4 linked regions of the Arabidopsis thaliana genome follow. The protein of the gene in region 2 interacts with the protein of the main gene of each other region in a pairwise test. Each region holds a gene or a part of one and is shown on either strand. Other genes may lie near its edges. The genes, in order: ABCI12, PTR6, FACE2 and MHX.

Evidence for each region.
Region 1: the proteins of PTR6 (region 2) and ABCI12 interact in a protein complementation assay, tested with the Arabidopsis thaliana proteins (one large-scale study listed by BioGRID).
Region 3: the proteins of PTR6 (region 2) and FACE2 interact in a protein complementation assay, tested with the Arabidopsis thaliana proteins (one large-scale study listed by BioGRID).
Region 4: the proteins of PTR6 (region 2) and MHX interact in a protein complementation assay, tested with the Arabidopsis thaliana proteins (one large-scale study listed by BioGRID).

What each region holds. Positions count from the first base shown.
Region 1 is NC_003074.8:7,600,518-7,606,092, forward strand, and holds ABCI12 (cobalt ion transmembrane transporter), read right to left. Parts: upstream 3,383-5,575; 5' UTR 3,204-3,382; coding exon 2,841-3,203; intron 2,731-2,840; coding exon 2,614-2,730; intron 2,532-2,613; coding exon 2,295-2,531; intron 2,210-2,294; coding exon 2,045-2,209; intron 1,945-2,044; coding exon 1,869-1,944; intron 1,801-1,868; coding exon 1,736-1,800; intron 1,645-1,735; coding exon 1,492-1,644; 3' UTR 1,305-1,491; downstream 1-1,304. Other genes in the region: AT3G21570 (proline-rich nuclear receptor coactivator), read right to left, coding at 1-190; AT3G21590 (Senescence/dehydration-associated protein-like protein), read right to left, coding at 4,034-4,122, 4,239-4,405, 4,533-4,654, 4,925-4,998, 5,068-5,272.
Region 2 is NC_003070.9:22,980,742-22,986,681, forward strand, and holds PTR6 (Major facilitator superfamily protein), read right to left. Parts: upstream 3,682-5,940; 5' UTR 3,636-3,681; coding exon 3,528-3,635; intron 3,368-3,527; coding exon 3,244-3,367; intron 3,161-3,243; coding exon 2,943-3,160; intron 2,858-2,942; coding exon 1,406-2,857; 3' UTR 1,204-1,405; downstream 1-1,203. Other genes in the region: AT1G62190 (Kua-ubiquitin conjugating enzyme hybrid localization domain-containing protein), read left to right, coding at 235-1,122; AT1G62210 (uncharacterized protein), read left to right, coding at 5,355-5,885.
Region 3 is NC_003071.7:15,211,747-15,217,568, forward strand, and holds FACE2 (farnesylated protein-converting enzyme 2), read left to right. Parts: upstream 1-2,639; 5' UTR 2,640-2,860; coding exon 2,861-3,070; intron 3,071-3,378; coding exon 3,379-3,438; intron 3,439-3,523; coding exon 3,524-3,730; intron 3,731-3,903; coding exon 3,904-4,015; intron 4,016-4,117; coding exon 4,118-4,189; intron 4,190-4,264; coding exon 4,265-4,327; coding exon of another isoform or gene 4,328-4,383; exon of another isoform or gene 4,384-4,412; coding exon 4,413-4,490; intron 4,491-4,569; coding exon 4,570-4,703; 3' UTR 4,704-4,867; downstream 4,868-5,822. Other genes in the region: AT2G36295 (uncharacterized protein), read left to right, coding at 9-350; AT2G36300 (Integral membrane Yip1 family protein), read right to left, coding at 1,616-2,383. UniProt on the Arabidopsis thaliana protein: Protease involved in the processing of a variety of prenylated proteins containing the C-terminal CAAX motif, where C is a cysteine modified with an isoprenoid lipid, A is an aliphatic amino acid and X is any C-terminal amino acid.
Region 4 is NC_003071.7:19,522,895-19,529,654, forward strand, and holds MHX (magnesium/proton exchanger), read right to left. Parts: upstream 4,687-6,760; 5' UTR 4,418-4,686; intron 4,002-4,417; 5' UTR 3,935-4,001; coding exon 3,544-3,934; intron 3,458-3,543; coding exon 3,282-3,457; intron 3,191-3,281; coding exon 3,072-3,190; intron 2,981-3,071; coding exon 2,808-2,980; intron 2,660-2,807; coding exon 2,544-2,659; intron 2,426-2,543; coding exon 2,209-2,425; intron 2,122-2,208; coding exon 1,992-2,121; intron 1,922-1,991; coding exon 1,624-1,921; 3' UTR 1,223-1,623; downstream 1-1,222. Other genes in the region: PHR2 (photolyase/blue-light receptor 2), read left to right, coding at 260-501, 596-661, 757-838.

The sequences.
Region 1 (5,575 bases), on a different chromosome or scaffold from region 2:
ACTCTCCTTTTCTCCTAACAATGTTCTTTGTCGTCGTTCTGAACTCATCGGAACCGAATCTTCTCCTTTGATCAGGTTTGAGAGGCGGTTTCCGGTGAAAATGATTCCTCCGGGAGTTAAAAAAAGTCGCCGGAGAATCTCTCATCCGGTCAACCAAACAATTTTGAGGCCTGATAATTTCGGTTCCCATCTCTAAAGATAAAAACAAAAAAATTATAAAAAATGGCGCCGGAGGAATTCCCTTCGGCGGCTAATAAATAAAGAAGAAATCGTGGTGGTAGAAATGAGGGAGGAGGAAGAAGAAAAGGGTCAAATAGTCCTTTTCTTCGATTCCTGCTCGAAATTTTTGTAAATTGGTTAAAATCTACAAATAATCTAATTTATGAGTTTTTTTGCTGGTTAATGGAATACTGGAATAAATAGAAGAAATTAGAAGAGATGACAAAAATGGAGAAAATGGCTTCTCTGTCAGAGCTTCGTTTCCTCGTAACGATGCATCTGTAACCTAAACACATAATTCTATTTTTCTTTTTGTTTAATTTAGTTTGTTTCCCTGTCCGTTTTTCCATTTTTAAATTTGATTTTCCACAAATCTAATTTTTGCTGAATTAATGTAATGTTGCTCTATGGGATTAATCAAACAAGCATTGGACTACATATATTGACATGTTTTAAATGAGAACTGTAAATATGAACTAATTCCAATGACAAATCTTTTTCAAGCTGTGATGATGGAAACAAGTGATTGCTTCCAATGCAAGAAACTATATTGCCGAAATATAGTTTGAGTGTTTTTGGTAGAATTCAAGATTGATGTTGTTTATAGAAGCAAGCACGAGTGGCTTGGGAAGACATTGACCCGTTATTTTCTAGAAAAAGATGTGAGACACTGTTTTCGTCTGCCTTTGTCTCTTCTGGACACGAAAACCATATCAAATCACACAAGGGTGTACCAGACTTTATCGAGTGAGATTGAAGAGATCACGCCCTTGGTTGGCTTGGGATCATCTTTCTTAACTCTTTAAGTATAGATTGTATTTTTGACGTAATTTGAAAGAAGAAATGTGGCAATTTCTTACACTTTTTCTAAAGGGTATTTGTTTCATTAGGTATAATTTCTTCGTGCAAAAATAGAAAACTTTGTCTGTTAGTGTTAGGTTATTATAATGATGAAACACATTCACAAGACTTAAATGTATGGGTGACAACTAGTATGGATTCAGTCATCTCATGGAGCAAGTTCTCAACAGTGCAAACCATTAATCCGAGTTGGAATATGTTTGCTGATGGGATGAGTTTCTTGGTCGGCGAGCATAACAAAGTTGTATTGTGTTACCCTAACCGGACCCCCAACGAAATCTTACACATTGGGGAAGAAATTTATCACATACAACATTTGGATGATCATGATAGAGATTCTACCTCAAGATCATCTTTTCTTCTGAATTATGTTCCAAGTTTAGCTCGAATAAAGATTAGTATGAATCAATATTAGACAAGAAAGTATTCAGACAAGAGTGCGGTTGAGATTACACCGATTAAACACAAAACTGATGCAAAATCTGCAAACTTATTCGAAGAGCCAGAGAAGAAGTAGATCTTGTGGCTACTGCTCTCTCCTCTGAAGCCTCTAACAATCATGGCCTGCATGCACATAAATTACAAACTTCTTCAACAGAGAATTCTTATTTGATTCTCAAATCAATGAGATGATAATAAGTGAAATCTATTTGACCTGTGATATTTGTTCGGCATGACGAAATATATTCTTGAAGATGCGGCGTATGAATGACGCGAAAACTACAAAAAGCGATCACTTGTAAGATGAGATGTATATAGAAAGAGAGAAGAAACTTTTAGATTCTTACTATCAAGTGTCTCCAGAACAGTAAGCTGCTGCCAGTTTACTCTTCGCGATACAATTCCCAGTGAAACACTTCGGACCTACAATGTAACATATGCACAACGTACCATTATGTGGTTTAGGACTTGGAATAACTAGGCTGATTGATAATATTAAAGCGAATAAGTGAACAGTCGTTACCTCATCGAAAACCAAATTAATGAATCTCAGTGAAAGCAGTAGCGTGAGGATAATTTCACTGACTGGAACACCAATATATGTCAATGGGAACAAGAACCAACGTAGAGCTAGTGCAAGTTGCTCTGGTGTTGTTGTTGCAAGGCAAATACTAGCACTTTGGAAGATCTGTGACCAAAAACCAAATGTTCCATTAAGTGATCTAATCAAGAAAGGAAATAGGTAAACCGCGGAAGTCGAAAAACCGACTTACAATAAAGGTTAAGCATGCGGCTGTGCTTCCAACAGACAAACCTTTCCTTGTGAATTGCAAAGGACCAAGCTTCAGTAACATGTACGAATAACCGCTTAAAGACATGGGAAGATTAGGCAAGCTTGTGATTGAAGATGGTGGTGTTCTTGATTGAAGCATTGGAGGTGCACCATCTGAACCTAGCCCCAATGTTATGAAGAGAATACCCGAAAGAAGCGACACTCTCGCCAATTGATCCTTTACAGAAAAAGTTAGGAAACTCAGCAGAGCAGATAGATCACATATAGAAACAGAGTTGTGACAGAGAAACAGAACTCACTATCCAAACTTGTCTTGGGAGAACAAGGATTGACAAAAGAGCTGTGCATAGAACAAGTCCTAAACGCACAACTAGATTTGCTCTTGCTGGAAGAACTACTAGAGTTAATAGCCATACCTACACATATATACAAATACCAAAATTCAAGCTTTAACAAAAAAAAAAAGACTCAAACTTTTTAACAAAATTGGATTAGAAATTTGATAAGAATCAAGAATTCAATATACCAATTTGATTCTGGGATCCACCGAGTGGAGAAATGTCACAGGAGACGATATGAATTGTCCGATGGGACTTCCGGTGGCGCTTGAAATCAATCTGAAGACGTTTTCGGCTCCAAGTCCTGGAATTGGTAACCGGTTCACCCAATTACCGGTTTTACCGTCTCCGTCGACGGTGGCTCTGACAATGAAAACCCTTTTCGCGGCGAGAGAGGAGGAAGGAGTCTCATTAAGCCGGAGCGGGAAGAGAAGCTTAGGGTTTGTAAAGTTCCGGTTAGGAATTGGAGATGTGAGATGACGAATTGGGTGTTTGGGGATTAGGGTTACGGTGAGGGAGACTGTTGGATTGGCAAGATTGGAGTGATTCATGAGTTTTCAATTTCGGATTGGATCAGACATATGCCCTAGAGCGGGAAATTCTGTACTTGGTAGAGAGAGAGATACTGTAAACTGTCAAGTGTTAAACTGTTGTACTTGTTGGTTTTGTCGGACGTTGACTGTGGTTCTCAACTTCTCATAATAACAAAAGTCAAAGTATACCAAAATTTGGATTTCGGTTCTTGTTCGAATTTGATGTATATATAGACTCGTTTTGGATTTTCTCACACTCTTTTTGTATAAATCTTTTCTCGTAGAGTCATAGCCACACCAAAACCAAGATTAAGTAATTTGATACAATACAGCATATGAAAATGTAACTTAGCTTTTAAGATAGATAACATATTACTGCCTAGGAGCATTTTTGACAATTTTTGAGGTGATGGAAAAAGTTGGCTCGAGAGCTTTTTGAATATTCCAGGCGGTTCGGCCTAAGCTGCCCGTTGTTTCCAGTATTATTCCGGTGGTTTTTCCGGCTTTCTCTCCAAAACTTTGGTGCGGTCATCACAAAAATGTGAATATGTGTTACACTCAACTCAATAAATGTATAAAATTGTAAAATTCGATGGTCATGTAAACATGTTATATAACTCATCTAAACAATCCTAACAAATAAAAATGATAACCTATCTCTAAAAATCATTAGCTACCCCTCAAAACTATTTGGTAATTAATTATTAGATTGTATGCACGCTATACAATAATTCTACCAACTTCGATTTTATTTTCTACCGATATAATCATTCTTTTGATTCAAATACCGGTGTGTTACTATAGAAACATAATTCATTCTCAAAATTGAGGATCACAAAGTGAGCTTTTTACCTCTTACTCACAAGTCTAGTAGCAGCCATGGATGTGGCATAATGAGTTTGTATTTCTGCCGCTTCAGCAGCACCAATTATATTATCTATTGACCACATCAAAGTGTTTATCTGTTTTATTTAAATTTTGATCTCAAAAACTTCAAAATAAATGAATATGAGTATAGATTGACAATTAATGGAGCTATTCTATGTAACTTACGAAAAGAATCAAGTGATGCCAAGATAACCTCTCCTGGAGCAGTGGATAACAATGCCTTCCCTAACTTCGACTTAACCACCGGAGCTATCATCGAACTGCTCACCAAATCTCCACCTTCTAAGGCCGCCATTCCTATAGCCTCGCTCACCTTCCACAGCTTCTCCGCTCTATGTATATGTTACATCCAACAAAATAACCAAGATTTGGTTCATTATAAGAAGGAACAAGAACCAAGATTTTATTGTTTGGTATAATATATACTATTTTGTGGGATAGAGATTAAAATATGAATACCTTTGAAGATTTTTGTTGAGTTTATTCTTCTTATTAGTTTCATTGTTGCCACCTCCATCAATTTGTGATATGTCACCACTTCTTTCCTCATCCTCTTCAGCAATCGTTCCTTCCTCGTGAATCTGTTTTTGTTGTAAGAAAATAAAACGATATTAATAATAAAAAATACTACAATATGTGCGTCTTACATCTCCATGTTCATATAAAAGTTTTTAAAAATCCAACACAAAAATAAGATGATCTATACTAGTAAATAAAACACATAAGTCGTTCCACAAGTTGGGTTTGAATTGGAAGTTCATGATTCTTTACTACAACAAATATTTCGATTCAAATCACAATCATCTATTAACACTCATAAGCATCATGAGAGGGACTTATATGTATGAGACCTTCTTAGAGTAAGAATTGCTACAAGTGAAGATTCCCTTGATGATATGCCCTGTTCCTACCGCGATGGCCTTGGCTACACCATTTTTGTAGTCTTCAGCCTTCGGTGCAAACTTTTTCCAATCAATTTCATTGTTGTTCTTACCTGAAGTACTTGAAGATTTCTCCCCCATGATATCTCCAAGAAACTCAGGGTTTTCCATGATTTCTCCGTCTTCCCCTAAGAAACTCAAGGCTAGCTCCAACAGTTCGGATTTATCGACGATTTGGACTCCGTAATCGGGATTCTCCAACAAAACTTCTTCGTTCACCGCTTGGGCAGATTGGTTTTCTTGGGTTGATGTGGACATTGTGTCTTCTTTCTTAGTACAGTAGTACTTTTAAGTTTGGTTTATATGTGAGGCTCGTTCCTATATAATGTTGGATGATCGAAGGTAATGACGTAAACACTTACCATTTGATCATATTAATAACCAACAAAAATGTAAGACCATAAAATATGATCATATAGCTTGGTAGTGAAGAATAAGTAAAATTTTCTAGTTGTATAACTAGCAAGTTGTTTCAACAGAAGATGAGAGAATACCTTTTCTTAATATATGATTTCATCTATAGAAACAACTTCTAAATTTGACCATACGTGTTATGTTTTC
Region 2 (5,940 bases):
TCTTGAAATTGATATATTAGATCACAATATCACGCCCACAAACATTTTGATAGATAAATTATTGTTATATGATGTATTTGATCATAATTTCCCCCCCATAAATCTCTGACGTACCCACATGGCCACATGCTACAATATAACTCTGGTTTATCTCTGCCACTATATATCGTGATCGCTTCATCTATCTTTGCCAAAAACAATAATTTTGATATCTTTGACCTCTAATCTCTCTCAATGGCTGTATCATTTCAAACCAAGAACCCTCTAAGACCCATCACCAACATCCCAAGAAGCTATGGTCCAACGCGTGTACGTGTCACATGCTCTGTTACTACCACCAATCCTCAGCTTAATCATGAGAACCTTGTAGTTGAGAAACGCCTTGTGAATCCTCCTCTTTCCAAGAACAACGACCCGACTCTGCAATCGACATGGACTCATCGGTTATGGGTTGCAGCGGGAAGTACAACCATATTTGCCTCTTTCGCTAAATCTATCATTGGAGGGTTTGGTTCTCATCTTTGGCTCCAACCAGCTTTAGCGTGTTATGCAGGGTACGTGTTTGCTGATCTAGGCTCCGGTGTTTACCACTGGGCCATTGATAACTATGGTGGTGCATCAACACCTATAGTTGGAGCCCAACTTGAAGCGTCTCAGGGTCATCACAAGTATCCCTGGACAATCACAAAACGTCAATTCGCCAACAATTCATACACTATCGCTCGAGCCATAACTTTTATAGTTCTACCACTAAACCTTGCAATTAACAATCCTCTGTTTCATAGCTTTGTGAGCACATTTGCATTTTGCATTTTGTTAAGCCAACAATTCCATGCTTGGGCTCATGGAACCAAGAGCAAGCTTCCACCTCTCGTGATGGCGTTGCAGGACATGGGACTGCTTGTCTCACGGAAAGATCACCCGGGACATCACCAAGCACCGTATAACAGCAACTACTGTGTAGTGAGTGGGGCATGGAACAAAGTTTTGGACGAAAGTAACTTATTTAAGGCATTGGAGATGGCGTTGTTTTTCCAGTTCGGTGTGAGACCAAACTCGTGGAACGAGCCAAACTCTGACTGGACAGAAGAAACCGAGACTAATTTCTTTACAAAGATTTAAAGAATATCTGAATATGTATGAGTGTGTCGAATAAAGAGCATGTATTAGGTTTAAGTATCAGATCTTGTAAGCTGATTAAACCTCCATTGTTGATGATCTTTCGTAAGCATGCAAACTTCAATAACCTGAACTACTACTTTTTACAAATAACCTTTCTAGTCTCTTTTTACATGGCGGAAACATTATTCATATTTTTAAGAAAATCTACTAGTACAGATTACAATATACAGAGTATACCATGAATATGATGAACCAAAACAACATAGCTTGTTACAAAAATAGCTTACAAAGCCTTCTTCTTTGTGTGCTTAACACAAATCAAGGCATAAACAGGAATGTTGACAAGTCCAAGAGAGACCAAAAGCCAGAAGAAGTAGTCAAGATGTCCTTTATTAAGGTCGTCTGGAACCCAACCATCTTTACCTCCAAGAGCTGTGAAATACGCCACAAGAGTGAGGATCAACGAGCTCAGGTAGCTTCCGACTGCGGTATTGAGTAGTGCCAAAGCGCTGCATACACTTCTCATTGCATCAGGAGATTCATCATAGAAAAACTCAACTCGACCAATGAAGAAAAAGACCTCTGCTATTCCCATTAGTATGTACTGAGGGATCTGCCAAAATATGCTCATTGCAACAAAGTCTTGAGCAAGCTGCAACCGCACTGTCTCAACAATAGCTGCAGCTGCAATGCTTAGGACAGAGAGAAAAAGACCAATGCCCATTCGCTGCAGATCAGTTAACCCTTTTGGTATCCCTGTGAACCGTCTTACAAAGGGTACGAGGAAACGGTCATATATTGGGATGGATATGAGCACGATAAGTGTGTCGAAAACCCCGAATGAAGCAGGAGGGATCTCGAAAGAACGGATTATTCGGTTCATGGACCGTCCTTGTTGCACGAATAGAGTGGAAATCTGTGAATATAGGACCGAGTAGACGATCCCCGAGGCCCAGATTGGAAACATACGGATTAGAGTCTTAACTTCTTCGACTTGAGTTACAGTACATAGCTTCCATGGGTTGGAAAAAGCACCGGATTTAGATTCATATTCTGAGATAACAGCAGCTTTGTCAAGAAACCTGCACAGATATAAAAACAAAGGTTTATGTTCCGATGAACATTTCCAAAAGCTCAAAATGAGAAACTGAAAGGGGACAGGTATTTTCTTGTAACCGTCAGTGTGTTGAATCTTCCTGCTTCCAGCAATCATGGAGTTTTTCTCTCGTGTTTCATACAGAAATGAGATATCTTCAGGGAGATTAAGCTTCAATTTACGGTATGCAGCTACAAGAACTTGGCAAACTCTAGTAATCGGACTACCTCCCGGTTTCTGAAACCGATAAAGCGGAGTTCCAATGAAGAAACTCGCAATAGAGACTCCCATAAACACGGTGGGAATCAAGAAACCGAGTCCCCACCCGACATTTTCTTGAACCCAAACTAACAAAGTGGATGAGATAAATGAACCAATGTTGATGGAGAAGTAAAACCAGTTAAAGAAAGAAGCTTTTCTAACTCGTTCCCTCGGGTCAGTATCATCAAACTGATCAGCACCAAAAGATGATACACATGGTTTGATACCTCCAGTACCAAGAGCAATAAGGTAAAGCCCTGTAAAGAAAACCGCATACTGAACCGTTGTTGCTGGTGAGCATAGAGCCGCAGCAACGCCAGCACATGCCGCTGGCTTTAAAACCGGAAGTGAAGCCGAGAGTGTCAACAAAGCCATTCCCTAAATTCAAAAACCAAGATTAACTAACTATGCAAATCACCTAAACAAACAAATGCAAGTATCCAAAGAGATTGATTAGTCTTACAATGAAATAAATAGCAGAGAAAGAAGCAATGGTCCAGTATCTTCCCCAGTAAGAATCAGCTATAACAGCTCCAATGAGAGGTGTGATATAGCAAGTTCCTTGCCAAATCATAACGTCACTAGCTGCAGAAACATTGGACTCGTGTAATTCACTTGTGTAGTAAGTGATTAGATTCTTGGCAATTCCATAGTAAGCTAATCTCTCACAACATTCGTTTCCTGTACATTGAGACCAAATTTGGAGGTTATATATAAGTACTGATAAAACAAGAATTTTTTTTTTATCTTTTTTTTTTGTTTACCAAGAATAAAGGGACAAGCTTTCCAGTTTCCTGTCTTCTTCTTCGATGGTGGGTTTCCATAAATGTCAATAGAACCATCTTCAGCTGTAGAAGACAATCCGGTCAAGTGATTGTTCACTTCCTCCTGAGATATTCAGACAAAAAAAAGATTGGATTTTTGTGGTTAGAATCTTGAACATAGTGGATTCTAAAAATTGAAAGTATAGCTATAATTAGAAAGATGTCAAGGGGTAAATAAATGGAGAGAAATTGGCAAACGCAAATTGATAGATTTAAGTCGAAACCTGTGTAAGAAGAGATTCTTCAACGTCAAGAATTCTCCTTTCGTCTTCTTCATTCGAATTCACCATTTTAAAGCTATTGAGAAAAGCAAATAGATTACTGGAACTCATCAAAAACGCTAAATAATCCGATTGCTTGCACAACTCTTGGTGGTCGGTCCCATTGATGGCCCAGTATACCAATTAAACTAAAGGAATTGTTTTTATTAAATATTTTTAAATGATCAAAATTGACTCTTCTTTGCATTTTTTTTAGGAGACAACTCCAACAATAGCACACCAGAAAATTAGAATAGTCTAATTATTAGAATACCAAAAGTAGGTAGGCATGAGGTTAATCTATTTAAACCGTGGATATCCGTATCCGGTTTTTGAACCAAACAAACGGATAGCCGGCCAGATATACGAATAGTTAAACGACGGATACAAATAATCCTAGAATTTAGGCCGGTTAATAGATATCTAGATATAACGGGTTTGATTGATTTTGAAAAAAAAAGATCATTTAAAAATATTTAATAAAACGATTCTTTTACTTTTTATCAAAATGATCAAAATTCAAAATTGACTCTTTTCGCATTTTTGTTTGGTAGGAGACAACTCCAATAATAACACACCAAAAAATTAGAATAATATTTATAGTCTAATTATTAGTAGACCAAAGTACGCATGAGGTTAATATATTTTACCACGGATTTTTATCCAAACAAACGGATAGCCGGCCAACATATGCAGATAGTAAAACGACGGATAGTCCGAATAAAGATATAGATACGAATAATCCGAGAATTTGAACCGGATAACGGATATCCGGATATATTTAAGTCCATATTCGATTTTATAACTTAAAAGTCTTATGATTTCATTCTTCAAGTGTTAAAGCTCAAAAAAAAACTTAAACCCAACTTTTTAAGTTGTTTTTATTTTATTTTCAATGTTAATAAATAAATCATATGCCAAAAAAAGTAAAAGTAAACCAAAACCATAAGAAGAATTTAAGAAGTTGATTAATCTCTTTTTTCAGATTTTAAGGATAATTTAAGTAGGGAAATTACTTGAGGTTTTTGAACTTTTTGAAGACCCAAAAAGAAAGTGAATGCAATCCCATATTGATTTGAAAGTTAATGCATTAAAGACCATCCCCAACCGGAGGCTTTTAGGTGAGGCCCTAACAATAAAAAAAGTAAAAAATAATCAAAAGTTAGTAGGAACATGAGAGAGAAACTCTTAAAACCCGTAAGTAAGGGACGAGCTCACAAACAAAATAACACATGTATTTTTATTACTGGTCTATCTGTATTAAAAAAATAGATTATAACTATTAAAATAAAATCTATTTTTTTGTCTTTTTAGAAATTTTTAGGGCCTTAACCGTTGGACATGCTCTAAGTTGCCCATGGTATTGATTTGGTACGAGTTAATGCAATCACCGTCTTTGTTTTAAAAGAAAGTTATACTTTCCACGATACGAAACATTTATGTTGGAAAATTATTTTAAATTTTGACTGTTAGGTGATTTTGTAGCTATACTTTCGCATAGTCATCCATCTGAATCAACACACGTTAAACGGCTCAAGTGTGCATGATTCTTGTGGACATTGCATCTCTGAAATTTCAATGAAGCGAAGAAGAGTCATTATTTGTCACTATAAGATAATGAATGATTATTAAAACGTATAAAACTCTCTTCACATCTATGTATTTCTCTCTAAGTAAGTACAAAATACACATTATTTATATACATGTGGGAATGATATTAGGAACACAATCTCAAAGCTACACAAACAAAATATTATCTTAGATTATAAAAAAAAATTAGAGCCAAAAACGATGAATATCATCAAGTTACTTGTGGTGGTATTCATTGCAGCTTTGAGTGGTAATGTTGGAGCACGTAAGATCGGAGGAATGGCCAATAATACCAAACTCATGAATAAAAAACAGCCAATTGGAAACTCTACTAACAATGTTACTGGTGGAGCCACAAATGGCACCAAAGCTCCTCTTAGTGGTGGCATTAGAGGAGTTGCTCCGTCTCATGTAACAGAAGGCGGATCCACTAATGGCACTAAAACTCCTGTTATTGGTGTCATTGTAGGAGTTTCTCCCATCAAAGAAAGTGGAGCCACTATTGGCACCAAAGCTCCTCTTAATGGCGTTTTAAGACCAGCTCCTCTACGTGAAGGTGAAGCAACTCTTGCCACTAACAACACTGGAAAACCTAGTGTTTCCGTTATGGGAGTCGGTACCAACGTACAAAGCGAAGTTCTTTTTACTACTAAAAACTTTGAAACGAGATTTGTCATCAATGCAAAGGTGAGTGAAGATGGTAGCAACGGTGGGAGTGGTGCAAAGCCTTGAAACATTATAAAGCGTAAGTGATCATGCTTAGGCTTATATGTACGTATAAATATTC
Region 3 (5,822 bases), on a different chromosome or scaffold from region 2:
AATCAACAATGACACGTTGTGTTGGTTTGGTTAACCGTGGAACAGAAGAAGAGGAGAAACAAGAAGCAAACGAACCTGAACACGATGGCGAGGGAAGTAGTGAAGAAGACGGCGAAGATGATCTGTTCGAGATAAACCTGGAGGCCGTCAGTGATACGGCCACATCTCCACCGTATGATTGCCAGAGATTACCGGCGAGAACAGGTAGCGTTTTACTGGCCAACTGTCTATTACCAGCTGCCGAAATCTCTAATGCCGTACCGGCAACATCAAGAGGTTGGAGTGATTTGGTTTGGTCTAGAGGGGTTCTCTATGTTGATAATCAAAGAATTGAGAGTAAGAATACTTAATCAGATGTATATCTTACAATTTTACCTTGAAACACAAATACGTATCTTATAGACACTTGAGAGATAATCTTGTCAATATATGCAAGTGTTACGAGTGTTTAATCAGATGGTTTATCACTATCTGGATATCATGGAAGAACTAGGTGAGTATGAGTATATATGGTTTCCTTTGACAAGATCCTGGTAAGGGAGAGACCAAGCCGCCTAAAAGTTTGGTTTCAATTGAGTCCAAGGATCGAAATTGTAGGGTATGTCTTAAGTACATCCACCAGATATATCAGAAATTTTACATCTTTACATTGTATGTTTAAAACAATTGCCTACTCCCCTTTGAGTCAATTTGGATTCTAAAGAAAAGGTGGAACACAAAAATGGTTCCCTCGGAACGAGTGTTGCAACACGAAAATATAGAGATCATTTCTAACACCAGTTCTACTGAATGTTTTAGGAGAAGGTAAAGCTGACAAATACTATGCTCACTCAATTGGACATAGCTGATTCTTCTCGACACATTAAAACAAATTCCATCTAAGAGAGTATGAATTGCGGATAAATCTCTCTCTAATTTCCGTGACACAGCAAATACTATCAGGAAAAGTAAGTGCAGTTCTGGGATTGACAGTAGAAGACGAACCTGAAGCCAAGATCCCATGTCCCTACTTATCTATGCCACCTAATCAGGGAACATACCAACACCGAGCAAACCACTAAATACTAATCACTCTTTCATTAGACTATGCCTAAGTTTCCAACAGCTCTAAAACCAACTCAAAATTCTACTCTACCTACATGGAGCCATACTTTAAGCAAATCTAATGCCAATCATTCCTAAAACTTGGGACCTTTAAGTATAATCCAAGCAAGAAGTCAGCACATCTTCATAGCCTCACACCGGGAAAGTAAATAGCAAAATAAACATGAAATAGGAAGCATATAAACCTCTTCTGCATTAGTACAGAAGCATATCATCCGCAACATCAATTCCAATACTCTCACAAATCTAATGTCCAGGAACAAACTATGTCAAAAGACATATCGACCAAATTGTATAAATAATTCTTAAGTAAGAACCTTAAAGATCAAGTGACAGATACAAACATTGAATCAAATTTCTTAAACACCTTTCTAAATTTATCCAAAAAAGCCTTTACACACCGTGCTATTCCCACCCAATTCAACCTCACATCAAAGAACTTATATTGCAGCCTTTTTTTGCTACTTGCTAACACAGCATCGGAAGTGATTCACGATCTATCAATATGGAATCAAAATATAACAAGAAGAGAGAAGAGAGTATAGATCAAGAAACAAGCGTACGCGATCAAGCCACGGTGCTCTTCTCCACCATCAGCAAGAGATACCACCAATGTAGAGCAGGCTCTAGTGGACCACAACACAAACAAAGCCGCAAGCACAAACCGAACCGGCCCTGCTCCCTGGGGAACGAACAATGACACCGCCGATAAAACCACCACCGGAAGCAAACAGTATCCGACCAAGCTCGTACACGTATGGAGATTAAGGTTCCCATTTCTACCAGCAAGCATGTTAAAGACGACGTATAGAAAGATAGAGGAGACGACGATCCATCCAAGTATGACACCGAACTGGATCTTACCAGCTAACAACTGAAATAAGCAAAGCGCAAGGTACAGAAAGATCGGACCAGATAGATCTGAATCTTTGTGAACAGCTTGGTTAATCCGAAAAGGATTGAGAATCGATCTAGTCTTCTTCCAGATTTGATCTGGATGGATACCGAGCTCGTCGAGTAATGGCTCCTCATCTTCAAACGAAGCTGAACCTCCACCAAAAGAAGAAGAGGAAGCGATTGTCCCGCCGAATGGTCCGGCAGGTGTAGCGGAAGACGCGGCTGCGGATCCAATGTCGAATGACATGAAAGGGATTGCGGAAGAAGAGGGACGCGGCGGTTGAAACGGTGTCGCTGGGAATCTTCGTTGCTGGACATTAGCACCGCCTGAAGATCCACCGGAGGGGAAAACTACAGGTGGAACTGCGAAATCCTTCGTCATCTTCTTTCCGAAATTGAGATCTCACCAAATCAGCAAAGAGATTCGAAATTAGGGTTTCAAGTTTGGATCAATGAGATGAATTTTTTAACCCAATTCACACGTTCGTGACGTTTCAGAGAAAATTCCTTTCTTTTTTTTGTTCTCTTCTTCTTCTTGACAGTGAAGAGACAACTTTAGAAGAAGGCATCTGAGGGTAGTTTCGTCATTCCGTCTAGTTAATGACGAAATATAACCAATAGGCTTCTTCGAAACTGGCATGGTGACGTATATCTTCTGATGATATTACCGTTATACCCTCTTTTATAAACGAAATTGGCCCAATGGGTCTGTTCGGCCCAGTAGTCATCCGTTTTAGTCTATAACGTGGCACGATGTAATTGGTTAAAGATTAGAAGACCGCCGGACTAAGATTTAACCAGCGGTGACTTCGACACTTATTAGCCGGTATATTTCTTCGCCGGAGCTTCCTCAACGATTATGGCCACCGATGGCGAGAGTATCTCGATGTCGTTGGCGGTGGCTACCTGCGTCGCGATGGCACTATTCTACGTTTTGATCCTTTACGTTCCCACCGTGATACTCCGTCTCCCGTCGGCTTCTTCTTACACCGAATTCATGATTCGGCGATTCATCTGCGCGGCCATTTGTACTGTAGCATCTCTCGTCTTCACAGCTTTTATACTTCCGGTAAGCTTCTTTGAGTACCGCCATTTCTCGATTTGAAGTTCATTCTCCGTTGATCTGTAACCAAATTAGGTCCAAATCTAGATGCATTTGGTGTTTTGATGAAAGTTAAACTAAAAGTAAAGAAATTTGATGTATTTGTAACTTTGTTGAGAGTTGAATTAGCTTTTACTAGTTGTTGTAGGTTCACACAATTTGTCTCTAAGAATGTAACACTCAAATATTGGTGACTATGTTGTGTTTGGTACAATTCAACGCTAGTTACAGGAATCTCTGAAACTTGTCTTCCTTTTTTGCTTGAGTAATGTTAGATAAAAAGCTGGGAGGCCTCTTATATACTTGGAGTTTATGGCATAAGGAAAGATCATCTGGTAAGTTCTTTGTCTCAATTTGTTTACTCGTAGCTTATTGTACACTATTCATATTAAAATGGTTATGTTTTGTGATATGGAACAGTGGCAAGGAGTGGTGTATCCTCTTCTATTGACCTCGCTCGTTTATGCTGGGTCTTTGGTGTTGAAGTTGTTTACTCTCCTGGAATCATGGAAGGAAAATGGCGGAGGATGTAGTTCCTTTAATTACATCAGAAGCTTTTTCCAAACAATCCCTGCTTCGGTATTGACAAGTGCTTCTAATGTTTCCGTTTGGCGCAATTTTATCGTGGTAATCATATGTTTGCCATCTCTGTGTGCTTATCTTGTCAATTCTTTATTGAAATTGCATAAGGCATTGCTTGCTAATTGTCTGAGGACTATATGCATCAGTTTGGTGTATAAGTAAGTTCTAAATCGAACAAGTTATAATCTGTTAGAGCTGGCGTTTCTTATGATTTGCAGGCACCAGTAACTGAGGAGCTGGTTTTCCGATCATGTATGATACCTTTGCTTCTGTGTGCTGGGTTTAGGATTAACACTGCCATCTTTCTGTGCCCAGTTCTCTTTAGCTTGGGTTTGTTTCTTTCTCTCTCTCTCTCTCTCTGTGAATAACAGTTTACAACTCGAGTGAAAAGAAAATTACTGGATTTGTCTGACTTTTATATGTTTTGTGTAGCTCACTTAAACCATTTTAGAGAGATGTACATCAGGCATAACCGCAGCTATCTCCGGGCTTCACTTATTGTTGGTATGTCTTTGCCATCCATAATCATAATAATATTGTTTGTTGATCAGTCCTGAGCTTCACTTGTCCGTTGATCAGGTCTTCAGCTTGGCTACACAGTCATTTTTGGTGCATATGCATCGTTTCTCTTCATCAGAACCGGTAACATTCCAGGCATTTATATATCTTATACATGTAAAAGCCTTTCTAATGGATGATTGTCTCCTGCATTGTGTAAATTTTACAGGACATCTTGCTGCTCCTTTGTTTGCTCATATATTTTGCAACTACATGGGATTGCCTGTGCTATACGCAAATGGAAAAGGTAAGACATAAAGTTCAAGGTTGTTAACAAATGCAAATGCAAAAGAATAAGCTAAACATGGTTATGGTTCTTCTCTCAGGTTTGGTGAGTGCAGCGTTCTTAGGCGGTGTGGTTGGGTTCGTCTTACTTCTCTTTCCTTTAACAAAGCCTCTCATGTACAACGATAGTACCAACGATTGTCCGTGTTGGCTTGGCTATTGTTTGTGGAATTGACACTTCTCCAAGTTTTTTTTTATATATCATCATGTCTTAGAATCTATTTTTTGACACAATATTGGAATTATGGTCTTTTACTGCAAGCTAATGTTTCTTGATAGTTTATGTAGTTTTTTCCTTGTAAATATATAATAATAATAATAATTGGTTCAAGTCTCCAAAATTAGTGTTGGCTAATTGTCCATTTTTTTCCGGTATTATCCCTAATGATTCTCTTGCTATCCTAGGAGGGACAGGAAGAAGGATGATCTACATCCCCAAGTCTAACCTAAACTATATTGTCCAATGTCAACACGCCAAAATTCATTTGATTTATATATAAAAATAGAGAAACAATGATTAGAAATTGAACATAGGTCCATAATCTTACATCAGAGATTCAGAAGATGATGTCTTGCTTGATGATCATCCAAAGAGATTTTGGGGGTAATCATCAAACGGATATAATTTTCTGAAAATTATATTTCAAAGTTGACTTTCAAAGTCTGAGTTTATGATGATGATTTTCACTTAGGAGTTACGAAAATTATGTTTCTAGGATTCGTAGGTCTCTCAGTAATTTTCTCACCACCACTTGATTACTATGTCATATTCCTACGAAATTTGAAGCTTGGATAGTTGAATTTATGGTCAATAAATTATCTGTACACTACACATATATTGTGTTTGTGTGAAGTAAACGGTGATTTAACGGGAGAGGATCTCTTCATAAAGAAGATGTGGTTGATTATGCTTGCATATAACAGAATTTGTTGAACCGGAAAATCATCCTCGACAAAACCAATATGCAGTAATCTACTCTAAAATGTATTTTACCCAAACTATACACTACTACTATCTAGTGAGATTCATTACTATTGTTTATGTGGATAGTTTTAAAAAGATGAAGACCAATACTATTATGATCTATTCATAAATCCTATTCTTATTTTATAGTTGTAAGTTGAGCTTTTATAATAGAGAGCATAAATATTGCTGGTATTTGAACTAATACAAACCGTTAAAAAAAGGGAACTAATACAAAAAGAAAAATCAACTAAATTTTCACTAATACTAAAAATTTGCAAAATTATGTTAATTTACGTTTATTTATTTATATTATAAATAAGTGAGTAA
Region 4 (6,760 bases), on a different chromosome or scaffold from region 2:
TTAGGCATTTAGAAAAGGTGGAAACTTGTGGGACTTATAATTCAAACTCTGCCAATTGGTTCCATTTCTATAGGAGAAGAGCTACTTACCCATAGAGTGATAGGGATAAGTACTATCAAGTGTTAATAGTAGTAGTGCTGTTTGAAGGTCCATGGATTCTTCTTAGGATCAATGAACGTTTCTCTTTAGGTCCAATATTCGTCTGCGGCTCTTACTGTCTTACACCTTCTCTTAGGAGTTAACATTTTGTTCTGCTCAGGAGGGGAAACCGACAATGGTTGGAGGAGAGACAGAGGCGTTGACTAGACTAAAGAGCTTTGCCGCGGATTGTCAGGCTCGGTTGAGCAAGGGAAACCAGAAAGGAGGCAACAACAGTGTCTTTGGTGCAAACTTCTCTTGCAAGATATCACCTTGGTTAGCCATGGGAAGCATCTCTCCTCGTTCCATGTTCGATGAGCTGAAGAAAACAATCTCCGCATCAACCACCTCCACAACTCCAAGGTAATGTCTCAGAAACGCAAAACACTTCAGGAAACTCTGGTGAACATAGTAAGTGTATGTGTCTAATTATCATTCTTTGAAATGATTTTCTCAGGAACGGACCGGGAGATACAGGACTCAACTGGTTAATGTATGAGTTGCTATGGAGGGATTTCTTCAGGTGAGCTCTTACTTTCTTAACTTGCCCCCTAGTAGAAATGTAGAATTTGTATTTTGTCTGATTCTCTCTTTGATGTGTGTTTAAACTTGGAACAGGTTTATAACCAAGAAATACAGCTCAGCGAAGACGCAGGTCGAGGCTGGTCCGGCTACAGCCTGTACCGGTGCCTTTGCTTAAACATTTGAAAACTTTCAGGTGACCGGAAAAGTTAGAAGCGACCTGTTTCTTTGCCCTACTCTGGTGTATGGTGGATTAATTTGCTATCCGGACAGGACTTTACTGCTCTCTTTTGAAACTTGAGTGTCAGGAGAATAAAATCTAAGCTTCTTTTTTTGGCTCAATCAAGTTGTCCGTTCCCTGTTCTAAACATTTCGGATACTCATTCCATAAAAAGTCTCTACAATTTGAGACGCTCTCCTTTGTGGTTAAGACTTGAGAATGTATCTTAGAAAATAACCGAAGTAGTTGTGTCTATGAATATTAAATTCAGGAATATTAAGATGTCACTAATATCAGAAGCAAGCAGCAACTAGAATATGCACTTCGTGGTAAATGGGCATTAGAAATTCTACAACACTTATTAAAGAACCGTACTAAACACTAGTTACTTGGATGAAAGTTACATATAAAAGTTTATATTAATCGACTAAGATTATTTGCTTGACTTTAGAGAAAGTTTGCATATATGTACCACAAATTGGTAACACTGCAAATAAAAAAACAAAAAAAACTGCAGGATAATGAAAATGTACTCCATATATGCACCTCCTAACTAGAGATGAAGCCTCCAAAATCATAGTCAATATGATTTATATTTGCAACACATATTTAGCCAACTGCCTTTGAACTTTGATAATTATATAAAACCCCCTTAACAAGTAAGAAAAACAAAAACTGAGACATGTGCAAGTAAGCTAAGACTTTTTCTTCTACTCATGGGGTTTTTCCTTTTGTTGCTTCTTCTATATGACGCCTGAAACTTTCAAAGAAGAAAGAACAACGAAGACGACCCAAAGCATCATGAAATAGGCAGAAGTAAGCCAAGCCCATAGCCTTGGACCTCCAAGCTCAGCTCCTATAATCAACCTTCTCAACACAAGCACCACGATACATCCCACTGATGTCGCAAAGAATATCAGAAGCGAAAAGCTTAATCCTTTAGCGTTTTCTATGTATAAAGGCTCTCTGTATGCAAAGTAGTTGTAGACTGTGTTTATCAGCCACGGAACTCCAATCCCCACATAGATGTTCACCGAGTTACTGCATAATTTATCACCAAAAAGATCATGAAAAGATCTTCAATGTTTGTAAAGGGTTTTGAGATTTTTACCTGCAGGTGATGTTTGCAATAGCTGAATCTGCGGTTAGTTGTCGCTCTGCAGCGATTTTACTTGCTACTAAGTCTGGCCATGAAGTTCCACTTGCGAGTGCTGTGAATGCTATCACATATGGGTTTATTCCTGCAAGATGAAAAGAGTTTCTAATGTTTTAGAGCTCAAATGTTTAATCTTATAACTTCAGTTTTTGAAAGCGGTGAGGGTGTGTACCAGTGACACAGCTTATAAGGTCAGTAAATCTTGTGACAACAAAGGCTACTCCACTGATGAAGAGGAGAGAGCAGATGAAAGCGATCCAACCGTGAGCAATGTTGCAGGGGGGCACAAATGCAAAAAGCAGTTTCCAAGGGGCGAGGAGTAAATGCCAGAAAGATTTCGCGATTCGAAGATAAATGCTATCCACTTTCTTTGATTCTGATGTTTCCAACTGTTTGATTACGAATAGGAAGAGAAACAAGTTAAGAAAGATGTGTTGATAATGATCAAAAGCCCAAAATAGGATATAGAAGAATCTAGAAAACACTTGGTAAGTTGAAGATTTTTACCGTTATTGCATCCACGAATTGATGTTTCCAAATGTCAAAAACAGTAGAATTCTTCGCCTTACCCTTCTTAGTCGCAGAATCGGGTGGAGTATCTGCCACAGTATGATAAGTGATCCCTGCAAAAGTGTTTGTTACAGGGAAAGTTTGATTTATAACAATATACTACCAGAGATAAATATGGGAATCACATAGATTTGGAAATAAGCAAATACGCTAAAACTGATCTTATATCAATAGAATAGACAGCCTAATCATACTTAGTACCTGTATCATTGTTAGCTGAATGAATAGAGAAGATATCAACAATGTTTCTGCTTCCCGATTCAACAGCATCTTGAGCAGCATCCGAATACACATCATGAACATCATTGTCATTGTCATCTTTGGATGTATCAATCTCCTCTGGAACCCACTCCTCTGGCCTATCACCTCTTGACCTGCAAGTATCAAATACAAACACAAAGATACAATCTTTAGTAGAAATCCATTTTGAAGGAACTAATATTATTGTCTGGAAAAGAAACCCACATTGGTAAAGACAAGTAAGGCCATCGCTTGTCTTGGGCGTACGCATGAACTAGAAGCAATCCGTATTGCAGTACTGTCAATAATGCCTCCACAAGTGTAATTACGTTTGGTGACCACACCTGTGAGACGTGAAAAGAAACAGATTTTTAGACCTTATCAGTATAGAGTATAGACTCAACAGAATCTGTTTAAACCGCTTTTCACAGTTACCTCGAGGATTATGTATAGCCAGATGTAAGCCCAAAAAGACCATACGAGCTCAACTAGCCAAACACCTAAGTCGGATATCTTTTTCAGTTCTCCAGCTTTTGGCACAACGACACAAACAGCGTGGATGGGGAAAAGATCAAATGCAGCTGAGCCAACAAGTGTTCCAGGACCAAGACCTATATGACAAAACATGATATAAGAATTCATGAACTTAAAAGTAAAAACTAGAGTTTTGGAAGGAAGAAAGGAACAACCACCAGACCTCCAGCATACCGCTCCCCCATATTCCGTATTGCATCGATGGTAGCCAAAGAAATCTGAGGGAAGCTAGTTCCAAACGCCAACAAACTGATGTCTGCAATAGTAAAGTTCCAAACTTTCTTGTATGTGATGACTTCAGCTTTAGTAATGGGATCAATTGTAACCACTTTACGGGAATGTTTCACGACATTCTCCATAGACTTGAAGAACCGTGCAGTGATGGCTGACAACCCAATAAAGCAGTAGGCAAGACCGAGAAAATATAACACACCCCTCAAACCATCTGACAAAGTGTTTTCTCCGGGGAATAGAAAGAAGTTTTCACATCTTAAATGCCCAAGAACCTTAGAAGATTCTTGCAACTCCTGGGTTTGATTAAGAATTGAGGCCATTGTAACTTATTCAAACCCCACCTCCTAATAAGTCAACTGAACACTTGTCCTCACTGGGGAAAAGAATCTGGCACACCAAAAAGAAGCTTACAACTTTTAGAAGAAACTGATGAAACCTGTAGCCTGATCGATCGAACAGTATCAAGAGGATGCGAAACAAACGGAACATGCAAAAAGATTTCTTTCCAGAGAATCTGTAACACAAACTAAACATTGCAAAGGATCCAATGGCATGTAACCGAAATCCAATCTATAACCAATGCTAATAACAATTGCATGTTCCACTGTATGCGTAATCAAAATCCAGAGGTAACCAGATCAAAAGATTATAACTTTCATCATGGGTTCAGTAAAACAAGTTGGGTTCTTTTCACAAAACCATAATTTTCAACGAACAAATCTCAACAAAAATAGCTAAAAAATAAGAAAAGAACAGATGAAACAGAGTGAGCCACGCGACGAAATTGATCAATGCGGACGTACCGGAGAATATCTCGGTGAGCGGCATTCACAATACGCCGATCACGGGAGAGATTTTCCGACAAACGGAAATCGAGAGGAGCTGATTGGAATCGGTCAAGCGTTGGATATTGCGGTGGAGACTTGGGAGCCATTTATACACATCTCTCTAATCTCTGCATGACACACTTCAATTATTGTATCGAAACGAGGATTCAAGCGTACATCGACCGACACGTGATCTTATCTAATTGGATGATTTACTTGACTAACTAGGATTAATTAATCTCGCCTTTCTTTGGTAAGGTTTAAGAATATGAGACCTCAATTGCAAGTTTTTTTTATATCTTTTTACTCCCTGAATTTTGTTTCATTTCATCCTTATAAGCATTAGATTTTAATTTCAACCTGAGTAATATTAGTTTTATCATCTCCTCGAGTTTAGATATTATCATAAACATATATCTTACTAAAAACCTGACCTGACTAATTTATTTTCTTTATAAAAGATAAACATGATAAATATGAAGTGTGAACGCATTATCAAATCAGAATTAGTGGATATATATGTATTTTGTTTTTTTCTGATTAAAAAAATTATTGAGATATATACAATTGAACTATGAGGACAAAAAATATATATATATATATATATCTTATTATATAAAGTATGGTTTTCAAAATTGACTTGGCACAGTGTCAAGTCAAACGATTAGATGTTTACATGTGTCATTCAAAATTTAACTTTTTTATTCTTTAAAAAAATAGAAAATCTTAAAAAGTAAACAAATTTACATATACTAATTTATATGTCTATATATTTATAAACAATTAACATTTATTCAACAAAAGCAAAATTAACAAATTTGTCTTTAACTCATGTAATCATAAGTGAAAATAGAACACTTTGAGAAAAATAGCTTAGCTTATAGGATTTAACTTTTCAATTATTTTCATTTATTAATTTTAACTCATTTAATATTAATTTGCATGATGTAAAATTAACTTACGAGATTACGTGGGTGATTGGTTTGTCTGTAACTGTAGATTTACTGCTGTAGAATTTTTGTTGTAGGTGTGATGACTGTAGCTGTAAGTTTTATTGCTGTAGAAATTAGACTGTAGGTTTTATTAATATAATTATTACTTAAAGAAATTGGGTAGAAATAAGATTTTGGTTGTATGTATTTTTAAACAAAAAAATATTATCGGGTCGGGTTCGGTTTGGGTTCGGGTTCGGGTTCGAGTTATTTATATATTGAAATATCAAATTTTGTGTGCAAATCTATTAAATTACTTGAAATTTTCAAAAATTCCCAAAACAACATGAGTAGTTTTGCTTGAATATATCTAAAAATACACAAAAATAACTAAAATATCCAAAAAAATTCTAATATTTTCTATATATAAGTATAAATATAACTAATATATACTTATATTTGAGATATGTTTGCATACCTATTCGGGTTTGGGTTTGAGTTTTTCGGGTTTTAAAGTTTATATCCGTTCGAGTATTTGAAAATTTCGGGTACACCCGCCTAAATAGGCGGACCTTATCTAGTATATATATACATTTGAACTATATTGTTTACTTTTTAGTTGATTTAGGCTATGTATGACATTGACATAAATCTACCTGTTATTTATCACGTGTAATTCGTGTAAAGTGTAAACTAGAAAGTTCAAATACGTATTTGTTTTTGTTCTGTTATATAGGATTGTCATAGTTGTAAATCTACAATTTATTACAACATGAATAAGTACACAAGCAATGTAATTGGATTTAATTGCTAAACTCTTTACATGGTCAATCTAAATTTGATAAGAAATACGTCACATATTACTAAGACTGATAGTTTTTTTGTTGTCACCAATTATTTTTGTTAAATTGACGAAAACAATTCCAAAAACTCAAATGTACAAAATCATACAGTCTCACAAACATCTCATAGAGAAAGATATAAATCTCCCATATGGGAACGATAACACGAGGTCGAAATACTATTCGTAAAACTAAAACGCCTTAGTTATAAATCGTTAGTTGTAACCGCGGTCGAGAATACATACAGATCCACGAAACTACTACTACACATGCTGCTGAATTGGAATTTGGAAAAGACCATCTTCTTTAGGAAGAGCTCACCCAATGAGTGACAAAGGTGTCGGTGGCTTGTTTTCTACCCATATGTATACATCAAATGGTAGTTTCATTAACGTTTGGTTTTGAGAAAAGTAAGACTTTGGCTAGTAGCTAGGTTCGTATATAATAAACTCTTTTGAGAAAGTTCATCACTGGTGGAAAATGTTAAACCGGTTTTTTCTCATTTTTTCCGCCATGTTAACCACCGGTTTAAAAAGACCGTAACA